Daphnia pulex: one gene and its partners. The protein of the gene in region 3 binds, or shares a complex with, the protein of the main gene of each other region. Links are inferred from orthologs where the notes say so. Each region holds a gene or a part of one and is shown on either strand. Other genes may lie near its edges.

The links.
Region 1: general transcription factor IIF subunit 2-like (region 3) and DNA-directed RNA polymerases I, II, and III subunit RPABC2-like share a complex: the UniProt entries of both Homo sapiens proteins name them as parts of the TBP-based Pol II pre-initiation complex. The link is inferred for Daphnia pulex from reciprocal best matches to the Homo sapiens genes GTF2F2 and POLR2F.
Region 2: general transcription factor IIF subunit 2-like (region 3) and general transcription and DNA repair factor IIH helicase subunit XPB-like share a complex: the UniProt entries of both Homo sapiens proteins name them as parts of the TBP-based Pol II pre-initiation complex. The link is inferred for Daphnia pulex from reciprocal best matches to the Homo sapiens genes GTF2F2 and ERCC3.

Annotation. Positions count from the first base shown.
Region 1 is NC_060023.1:6,841,255-6,843,925, reverse strand, and holds DNA-directed RNA polymerases I, II, and III subunit RPABC2-like, read right to left. Parts: upstream 1,325-2,671; 5' UTR 1,167-1,324; coding exon 1,138-1,166; intron 1,063-1,137; coding exon 913-1,062; intron 851-912; coding exon 643-850; 3' UTR 623-642; coding exon of another isoform or gene 545-622; 3' UTR 501-544; downstream 1-500. Other genes in the region: LYR motif-containing protein 2-like, read left to right, coding at 167-214, 284-323, 392-489, 545-622; chymotrypsin BII-like, read right to left, coding at 2,344-2,459, 2,525-2,623. UniProt on the Homo sapiens protein: DNA-dependent RNA polymerase catalyzes the transcription of DNA into RNA using the four ribonucleoside triphosphates as substrates.
Region 2 is NC_060020.1:5,844,918-5,848,867, reverse strand, and holds general transcription and DNA repair factor IIH helicase subunit XPB-like, read right to left. Parts: upstream 2,801-3,950; 5' UTR 2,642-2,800; coding exon 1,450-2,641; intron 1,380-1,449; coding exon 1,116-1,379; intron 1,051-1,115; coding exon 122-1,050; 3' UTR 47-121; downstream 1-46. Other genes in the region: RNA-binding motif protein, X-linked 2-like, read left to right, coding at 3,281-3,294, 3,599-3,757, 3,819-3,948. UniProt on the Homo sapiens protein: ATP-dependent 3'-5' DNA helicase/translocase. Binds dsDNA rather than ssDNA, unzipping it in a translocase rather than classical helicase activity. Component of the general transcription and DNA repair factor IIH (TFIIH) core complex.
Region 3 is NC_060025.1:405,857-409,667, reverse strand, and holds general transcription factor IIF subunit 2-like, read right to left. Parts: upstream 2,250-3,811; 5' UTR 2,096-2,249; coding exon 1,902-2,095; intron 1,833-1,901; coding exon 1,681-1,832; intron 1,555-1,680; coding exon 1,468-1,554; intron 1,404-1,467; coding exon 1,279-1,403; intron 1,219-1,278; coding exon 1,075-1,218; intron 1,016-1,074; coding exon 899-1,015; 3' UTR 684-898; downstream 1-683. UniProt on the Homo sapiens protein: TFIIF is a general transcription initiation factor that binds to RNA polymerase II and helps to recruit it to the initiation complex in collaboration with TFIIB.

The DNA of each region.
Region 1 (2,671 bases), on a different chromosome or scaffold from region 3:
AAATAAAAATAGTTATTTTTCTGAAGGGTATCGTAGAATTAACCATTAATGAATATTGTCAATAGATCGTGAGATGATATTGATAATAGACTCCTAGAATAAATCACTTCAGTAATCAAAACACTTTCAACTGGTTTTAGTAATCTGAATTTACCCACAAATAACTATGTCTACCATTTCAAGAATTCCTAAAAAAGTGCTCACTCTTAAGCAGGTAATTCCATATTTATAGCATTAACATATCACATTGCAGAGCTTCTGATAAAAAATTATTCTCTCTCAGTTCATGCTTAGGCAAGAGGTTTTGAATTTATACAGAGAAGGTAATTGATTACTTAATATTAGGGTACATAGTTCTGATAACTATTAAACAAGTGTTTTGTTCATCAAGTTCTACGCACAGCTAGAAAAGTAGATAGGCATCAAAAAGACGAAATCATCAAGTGGGCTAGGAGTGACTTTGAAACACACCGATCTCACACTAATGAAGTATTAATTAGTTTGTTTTCATTTGGAATTTATTTCACAGAATTTTATTTTGAAGGAAACAATCAAGGGACTTCTCATCAATGGGAGACAAATGGTGAAAGAATTACAAAGTACAATTAAAAAGACATCTTAGTGTATTATTGTATGTTGGACTCAGTCATTGATTACAAGTTCGTCTATTCCCCAATCTTCATAACTTCCATCAGGAAGATAGCGGCGAATGATTATAGGAATTTTCTTCTGCTTCAATTCTTTCATTGCAATTTGCAGGGGATCTGTTTCGCCTTCCAATTCAACCATGACTGGTGCACACATTGCTATTTGTAATGCTCTGGTCCCTAACACCCGTGCCCTTTCATACCTAAAAATGTAAGACTTGTTTATAGTCTTTCATGAGCTATGCATCTTTCAAGTGTTACATACTTTGTCATGTAAGGTGTTGTAATGCGCTTGGTTTGCAGTTGGCCAGCTCCACCTTCACCTTGCTGAAGTAGATCAATTTGTGCATCATCGTCTGGCTGTTCCATTTCATCCATGTTATCATCGTCTTCAGCATCTTCAAAATCGTCGCCACTAAATAACAGAAATTCAACATGTTGTACATGTGATTAAGAAAAGAAGAAAAACTCCAACTAACTATTAACTTACTCGTCGTTCTCAAAGTCATCGTCTGCCATTATTGTTTAAAGGGTAAGATAATCACAGTGAAAAGTGAAAACTGAGTAAGTTAACAAGACCACGAGATTTCCAGTCAAATTTAAGAGATTTGCATTTGCTACAGCGTGCAGACGATGGTGCCCTAGTCAACCGCCACCGCTTTGTCGAGTTGTCGGCCGAGTCAACTTCGGCGTTCGTTCACCAGGTGGCCTTGCGTCCCTTTCTTGATTCAAATGTCGATTCATAAAGTATACGACTATACGTGTGGACTGTGGATACTTTATGGTTGGATCTCGAATGGACGATTCATGGTAAAATACTAAAATGCATCCATTTGTAACAGGGTATAAGAAAACAGTAATTTAAAATGGAAAATGTCAGCACATCGTTGCTTCGTCGACAGTGTAGGACAGTCCAAATGTGTATTAAATAGCTGGGATATTAAGTTGTCGAACGGTTGCAGAGGGTCGATCTCATCAGAGGCGAAAGTAAACCGGTGGCCGTTAGGAGGACGAGGGCAAGAGATCCTACTTGGGATTTCCGGTGAAGTTAAATGTTTTTTTCCAACTTGTAAAAGATGTAATGTTTTACAGCAATTTGCGTGCTGATTATGTCGCCGTCGTACATGCTCGCACGTAAATGCTTACGCTGGTATCTAATTATTACAACTGCCGGACTGTTAAAATGACTGAGATTTTCAAATTCTGGATTCGATTAGAAAATGTTGCGTTTAATGATTCACCTTGTTTTGAGACTTGTTATTACAAACTAAATGAATAAACGATATAGTAATGTACATTAGTAGGTGGGAGCCCTGGGAGGGCATTCAAATGAGTCGTTAGAACCACGCCGTCGAAAGGCTAATCACGAATACGATTGAAACGAGCATAAGGGGTGTCGATAAAAAGGCGGATGTTCAATGAGTGCCGGAAGTTGATTCAATAATATCCCGGATCTACGTTGAAATGAAGAATAAGAGCTCAGTCTGTTGTAACCGTTTGGATGACCCTTTTCTTTTGGCATCCCTCAGTCGAACCGAACGATATGATCCCGATCTGTTTCCACCTGCCGTCCATCTGTTTGTAATTCATCGATCCGCCACTATCGCCCTGCCATATTTGCATACATTTTAAAAGTAAATTCACTAGGATGATTATGCGTTCACTTACTATGCAAGTTCCCATGTTGTTGGCGCCATCACTGGTGCACATAATGTCCTCCTTGGATGTTGTCGCCATAAGTTGTCCTGCAGTCGTTATTGGAGATGAGCCGGACCGTCATCTTATGTAACACTGGGCTTATACGTGGACTACCTGAATTTTTGAAACATTTAACTTTTATTTTGGATTCTCTCGTCGTCGTATGTTGAACGGAATACCGTCGTAAGTTGTACCCCATCTCGTGACGGTAACCATTTCGTTGACGTAATCAGGTTCGTCGATACCGGAAATTGACAGACACACTGGGCGGATGTACTCTGTACAAAATCTTAAATTTAATTATAATTTTAAATTAAAGAACACGA
Region 2 (3,950 bases), on a different chromosome or scaffold from region 3:
TCACACACCTGTCACCAGACACCAAAAAAAAGTGAGAAATAAAAAGTATTAAACCAGTTTCTGTATTTATTCAACATGAATTTTGAGATATAGTAATCACATTTTATGACTTGGAAAATCTTTACTTGGTGCGGTATTTCTTGAAAAGGGGGTGTTTGGATAAATTATTTGAAGCTGATGGGCGTTTATATTCCATATAAACTGCGTCATCGGCACCGCTCATTGATGCCATGGTTCCAACGCGTCGTCCAAATGGACCAGGCCGACCTCCAATTTCTCCGGGTACACGCTCTTCATCTGCATCAATATCCGATGCTGTCAGAACCATTTGTAGCAGGTTGGCTTGCTCTTCCTTGCTCTTGTAGTTCAATTCCTGGTCTTGATCCATGCCCGCCATGCGAGTGATGACTTTATAGCTGTATCCTTGATTAACCAAGAATCGCTGACGTTTACGAGAGAAGCTCATTTCCAATGTATCTTGCGATACCAGCGTGTAGAAGAACGCATTGTACTCCTCCGCAATGGCACCTTTCTTGGCTCGAAGAATACGCCCCAAACGTTGAGCTTCTTGACGACGAGAGCCACCGTGCGAGGATATTTGAATAAGCACGTTGGCATCAGGCAAATCGAAGGAAGTATCAGCCACCTTACTGACGAAAATTGTGTTCACCTTCGGATTCAGTTTGAAATTTTGTAGAATTTGAAGCCTTTCGTTCTGAGATGTTGGACCGTAAATGAATGGCTTATTCATGGTAAGCGCATAGTGCTTAAGAGCATACACATTATCCGAAAAAACGATGATTTTGTCATTACGTCGCTCGTGGTAGCGAATAAGAAACTGACAGGCTCTAAACTTGTTAGGATTCATTACGAAGAGAAGCATTTTCTTTGCGGATTTACAGGCCAGATACTCGCGATAGAATTCTGGGCTCATAGGACACCATACTTCAGCGCATTGTACTCGAGCAATGAATCCACGTTTTTGCAGCTCCAACCAATTAGCCTCGTACAGCTTTGGTCCGATCAAAAAATTCAAGTCTGCAATCTTGTCTGTAAGATAAAGAAAATCGTTGATCAGACAAATAAATACATTACAGGTAAAAATAATCAAATACCATCTTCGCGGACGAGAGTAGCTGTCAAACCAAGCTTGCAATGGGCTTGAACAATGGTCAAAACACGACGAAACATGCGAGCTGGAATAGTGTGCACCTCGTCCAACACCATAATACCCCATTCCTGCTCCTGGAGCCACTTCATCGTTTGATCTGCCTCATACGAACGTTTTTGCTGATGTGTTATCATGTTAAAGGTTGTGATCATGATGCTGCATCCATGAGGCTTATCCTTTGCATCAGATGTAAAACGACAGATCATACCTGAAATGAAAAAAAAAAAAAAAACATTTATTTATCAAGTAAAGATAAAAACATATTAACAACTTCTTACTATCGTCAGCAGTAGACCACATCTTAAACTGGGCTTTCCACTGCTCGACTGAAACTCCAGAATTGCACAGAACTAAAGCTCTTTTTCGAACTGTACAACAGGCTGTCACACCAACCAAACTTTTACCAGCTCCACAAGGCAAAACAATGAGCCCAGAGCGAGCACGACCATTGCCAAACATTTTTCGCAGGCTTTTTTCCTGGTAAGGCCGCAATACAGCTGCAGGTCTCAAATCAATGTTTATGTCCTGATTATGAGTGTCGTTACGAAAATCATATTCCGCTAACAAAGGGTATTCTAGCTGAATACATCGCTTTTGAATGACTTCAATTTTTTCTTGATTTACTTCAAATGCAACCGTTTGAAGAGAAGAATCATCTTCGTCGTCCTCATCCTTGTCCATTTTGTCGTAAAAATTCGATATGTCATCAGGCACTTGCTTTCCTTCTTCTCCTGGTTCCTCTCCTGAAGTACCAGGTTTTCCAAATTGAATAGACGTTGCTTTTGATTGAACTTGAGTGATCAGTCCATCTGTTGAAGATTCCACGCTGTGACGAAGTCTGCATTCTTGAATTACAGGATCTTTCAACAATTTTTGGATGACATCTGGATATTGAGACTCAACAAAATAGCGATTGTGCTTCAACACTAATTTGACTTTGCCGTAAGAGAGTGTTGAGATCTTTATGAAGTCTACAATTCCATCAGGGACAGCAGTTTTGCTTAAGCGCTTTAAATACTCTATGATGTCATGAGTTTGCAGCCCGACACTGACGGCAGCATACAATGAGTAAGAAGTCAACTTGTACTCATGTATGTGTTCTGGACGACAAACTGGTTCACTTATTGCAATCAGAAAGTCGTGAGCGTGTTTGTAGACTGGTGAGAATGACTCCAGGAAGATGTGGCCATTGGGAGCAACCCACAATGGTCTAGACATGTGGTCTGGTTTAAGCTGCAAGTCTCGATAATCTTTGGCTCCATATTCATCTTCCCCTTGCCTTTCACCTTCAACTTCAATGAAGTGCTTTGCCGCTTCTGGCACACCCTCAGCTTCATTTCCATCCGGTATGCCTTCATCATAAGCACTCTCATCTTCAAAATCCTTTCGTTTTTTACCAGCAAATTTTTTCTTGGACGCGTCATAACGATCTCCATCTTTTTTCCCGTATTTACGGCTCCCCCCAGCCATATTAAACAGAGGAATAACCGTGAATTATTCTATGAATACTGCTGGAAAATTCTAAACAAATTTAACTTTCTCGGTAAAGTGATTGAATGATGAACTTTGGACGAACACTGAAGTGAAGACTGAACACTGACAGTGAAAACTCAGCTGAGAGAGAGCAACAACACAAAAATAAATCGCCTGAAGCAGAAGCATGGTTCGGGCACACATAGCACACCTAGCGGAAAATCAAGAACGAGAATTATATTTTGTACTTCTTGATCGTTTCGAGTAAATTTATACTTTGAAAACTTATTTCTAACTTCTAAATTAAATGAATTATTTTCCTATATTCAAGCAATCAACGGAGATCATAATAGCAGATGTTTATGCATATATTAAACACCAGAGGCGCACTCGGTACGTCTTACATGCCTTCTTTCCTTGAACGTGATCGTCTGCTTGATATTTTGGCTTTGGTTTGGCAAGTGGCATTTCGCTAACTGCCATCGGAAATAAGAAAAGCAATTCAAATAATTCAATCAAATACATCCAGTTATTATTCTTTCGGATTTCGATCCTGACTTAAGTACTCCTCACCTTGCAATAATGCCCATCTTCAAGTTAAACTAAACTCTACGAGAACTTTCCTGTTGGACGAAGATGAATCCACTAACGTAAGTACTACATAGCTTTTGCATCATTCATAAACTCATAATCTTGTATCAATATTATTTGTGAGAAATTTTCGATTTATGGCTAACTTAAAAAGTATGTTAACACATAGTGAGGGTAAATATAATAAAACTTATCGAAGGTTTTGTGTGGGGGTGTTGTAATGTAGGGACTGGACAACATAAATATAGTTTGGAATCATGTTATCTGCTGGTGCTGCGTAGAACGAAGCATATTATATGCTACCTTATTAGACTAGAATATATTATAAGTTCATTATTAATATGGCTATTTCCTTTTTCTTAGGAATGTGAAGAATATCAAGAAACTCAGCGAGACTGAACTGAAGTACAACATATCAGGAAAAGCTTCATGGCATTATCAATACAAAGACAGTGCTTGGATTTTCATTGGAGGATTGCCTTATGAATTGTCTGAGGGGGACATCATCTGCATTTTTTCTCAGTATGGTTAATACTTAAGTGATGTTTATTATTGCTATTAATAGTTAAAATTTTTTTTTAAGGTATGGAGAGGTTGCAAACATCAATTTAGTACGAGACAAGGTTACAGGCAAGTCTAAAGGCTTTTGTTTTTTATGTTACGAAGATCAAAGATCAACAATTCTTGCAGTTGACAATTTAAATAGCATCAAGGT
Region 3 (3,811 bases):
TATAGTGGCCAAGCGGACATGCTAAATTAAAATTTATTCTGATCTACCGTTGTCTCCTTATTTGGAACACATGGATTGAACCGAATTAAAACATTTGATAGTAGTAACATAAAGTAATTGATGTTGAAGGCACTGAGGCACACTGTGGATAATTTGTTGAAGTGTGCTTTAAATGGTTTTCTATGATGTTGAAATGCTAATTCTTATTCTGTTGTTGTACAGGAACCCTCACATCGCTACCTGAAGTTGCAGATTTCCTGGTGAAATAATTCTGTTTGGTGTATTTTATAGTATCTATATTGACAAATAAACAATTTTTAAAATTACATTCTGGCAAATTGTAACTAGTGAAAATTAAAACAAATTAATTTGTAGATAACTATATTCAGCGTTAAATTGTTGGTTGAATCATGGTTGGATGATGAATCTCATCAAGAGACAGGCTGTTGCTATTCTAATAGATTATGGCTTTTGACTGAGATAATATAATGTTAACTGTAAGTAGGGTACCATGAAAAGCTGTAAATATTAACATGTAACCTTTTACTTGATTCTTGTTTTTACAATCTTACGATTCTGTTTAAAAGGGGTTCCTCGTTAGCACATAAGCCTACTTTTCGCACTGAACTCGCTCATGAAATCATTTCTTCCTGATATGGTTGGGATAAATTATATTGGTAAAATTTTCAAGTTCGCATCGATGTATTGGACCACACACTTGTTAGCACGGGAATTTTTAGACGAAGGGAAAATTGTAGCCTAAGAGAACATTTTATCGAACAATTTCAAGGGCAGTTGAAACCCATTTGAGTTATCTGAAGTTATGTGCATCCAAGAGCTGTTTAGTAGTTTTCTGAAAATCACAGCTTTATTAGAAAGTTAATGGACTGTTTACTTATTAGTCCTTGTCTTCATCTTTGTAGTGGCGGTATTCCGGTTTCAGTTCCCACATGTTTTTGTGAGGATTCTTCAAATTGTATACACAAACATCCTTCAAAATTTCCTTGAGGTAGGTCTATAAAAGCAGAGGGTTTTAAAAGTGCAAATGCTTGTATGAAAACAACTTTTTCTTACCACAGGTTGGTTGGTGAGTTTTACCAAGTCCTTGATGTTGTAGTACTGATGCTTTTCAAAAGCTGCAAACAGCATGTCCATAACTTTGCCCTTATCATCTCTGGCTTTCTTACCCTCAGCTTTCTTCTTTTCGTCGAATTCTTTCTGTAATCAGGAATAAAAGGTTATGATGTACCAAAAATAGACGAGAATTGCTATATTTACATTATGCTTGTGGTCAGAGATGGGTTTGTAACTTTGAACCACTCGATCCAATTGCTTCACAATTCTTGTAGGTTGGGCAGCTTTAATCAAAGAATCCCTTTTGAGTTTCATGTAACTTGCATTTGCTGATGAAAATAAAAATCATTAATGCTCACTTCAAGCTTAGGAACTTTATTTTGTTGGTCTCACCTGTTGGTCTACATTCAAGCTTCTGGGCAACTTTGCCTTCAAATATGATCTTCTCAGTTTCCATAGGTGAGTTCGCGGTGGCTGGAGCTGGGGAAACAATACAAAAATGTCAATATTAAATTAGATTAATTGCAAGCACGCCACTTTAAATATCATGCTTTAAGCTCAGGCCTAAAATAAAAATCTTCCCCATAACTGTCAAGTAGTACGTACTGGTTTGTTGAGAAAATACACCCAATGTTTGTGAAGTAATGTGTGAAACAATCAATCCATGCTCTTTAGGAATAGGTTCCTCTCCTTTTTCCTGGAGACACATAATAGCTTCCGACAGAATAAGTTTGACTTGAGACTTTTGTCCTTGCACCCTGAACAAGAGTTGTAATGAGTTAATAAAGGATTTGTCGATTTGTTAACATAAACCAATTGATGCATACCTAGTAATATTCAGTTGTCCAGCTGTAATATTTCCAGGGCATTTATCCCATCGACTTGAAATGTATTTTGGTACTTTCACCAACCAAACACCCCGACTAGCTGAAGACATTTCCATTTCCCTTTCATAAACGATGACATCTTTGTCTTTCTCCTTGTCTTTCTCTTTTTCTTTCTCCTTTTTCTTTGACTCCATGGTTTTCAGTTTTAAAAATTCTGCTTCAACGTACTAGAAAAACCTATTCAAGAGAATGTAGTTCTAAATATTGGCCGGCTTTAATAAAACAAGTAATCGTTTCTTCTTTCAATCGACAACGTCACACAACTGAAAAGGTCTTCAAGTCTATCGTCTGCTATAAATCGCGCCAGAGCGCGTTCTTTTGTTTTATTAGATAAGTTTACGCAACCATCAGTTCGTCAACGCATTTTTCTTTAATAAAACCCCCCAAAAATCGAAATGGCATGGAAATTTAATGGCCTTAAAAAAAATAACTGATCAAATTTGTTGTTGCACAATCCCTTTAATAAGCTTTTAACAGGAAATAGTTTGATTGGCCAACATTTTTTCATTTAGCTTTTTACTCCTCCTCAAATGTAACCCTGATTGCATATCTCAATGCTCAAATCTCAAATTTGTTTCAGTATGAATTCCCTAATATTATTATTATTATTATTTTCTTGCCTTTCTAGATTTATAGGAATTTGCAAATCAGGACGTCTATCTGTGTAACTTTCAGACGCGGAATAATGTGGTATTTTTCATAACGCCCCGTGAGAAGTGATTCGGAATGTTTGGAATTTTAATAAGTACGAAATCACCGGAATGCCTGGCCAAGTATATAATCGCCCTCTGAAACAAAGCAGAAACTGGGAAACCTCTTTTTGTACTAGTTGGTCTGATTCGATCGGAATATGTATTACCACTTGTAACTGGATTCAAAATCAAACAATTCTACGAAATCGAGAAAGTTATAACAACTAGATTGGTACTTAAGGCGATGTCTTGTGGGGGGACAATGTCCGTCCACTAACTCCTTTTACTATAATTGAGTTCTATCACTAGTACGAATTGCTATACATGTATAACATAGATTTGTCTAAACAAGAGATGGCGAAACGGTAAAAATAAAAAGAGCACAGCAATTTGAAATTCTAAACGGGTTTCCCTTTCTCATGGTGGCCGCTGGTGGCGGAATCAAGAAGCTGACGACCAGGCCAGCACTCCACTCCGTGATCGAATATACAACATACTTGATTGCGCTTTGAAATGGACAGTGCGAGAGAATAGAAACATATATTTTAGTTTGAAAGTTGTATACACTAGTCCAAGATAATTGAAAGAAATTATCTACCGAAGAAAGAACGAATAGGCTATTTTAAATTTGATCATTTTACACTGGTGAGTATAAGCTATAGTGAGTCTAAATATTCTTGTCGAATGCAAACGAACAGAGAATAAAAGTCATAACCCAAGTTGCGGTTATCGCACTTTAAACTGCAATTTGTATTCCAATTAGTACATTCAAGGTGATTAAGAAAATGTGTGAATTAAATATTAGGCTATTAATTCGGTTATTGCGATTTATTAAAAGATATTTCATATTCAACCTATGATTCTTTCATTGTTATTTATTTCATAATAAAATCAAAGAGTAAGAAAACATTTTATGAGCTTTTATGAAAGTAAAGTTGTGCAGCCAACAATCTCAAGTATGCCATCGCTTCAAGACCAACTCTTCCAGGAACACATAAAATCATGAATATTTAATTTCGCCATTCGTCTTCACGGCTAATTTTTCTTGCCTCTTGCGTCTTGCAATGTGTGAGTTCTAATTAGTTTAATTACTATTCTCCAGCTTCCTACCGTCTCCCTCTAAGCCAAAAAATAAAAATAAAATAAAAAACAACTTTT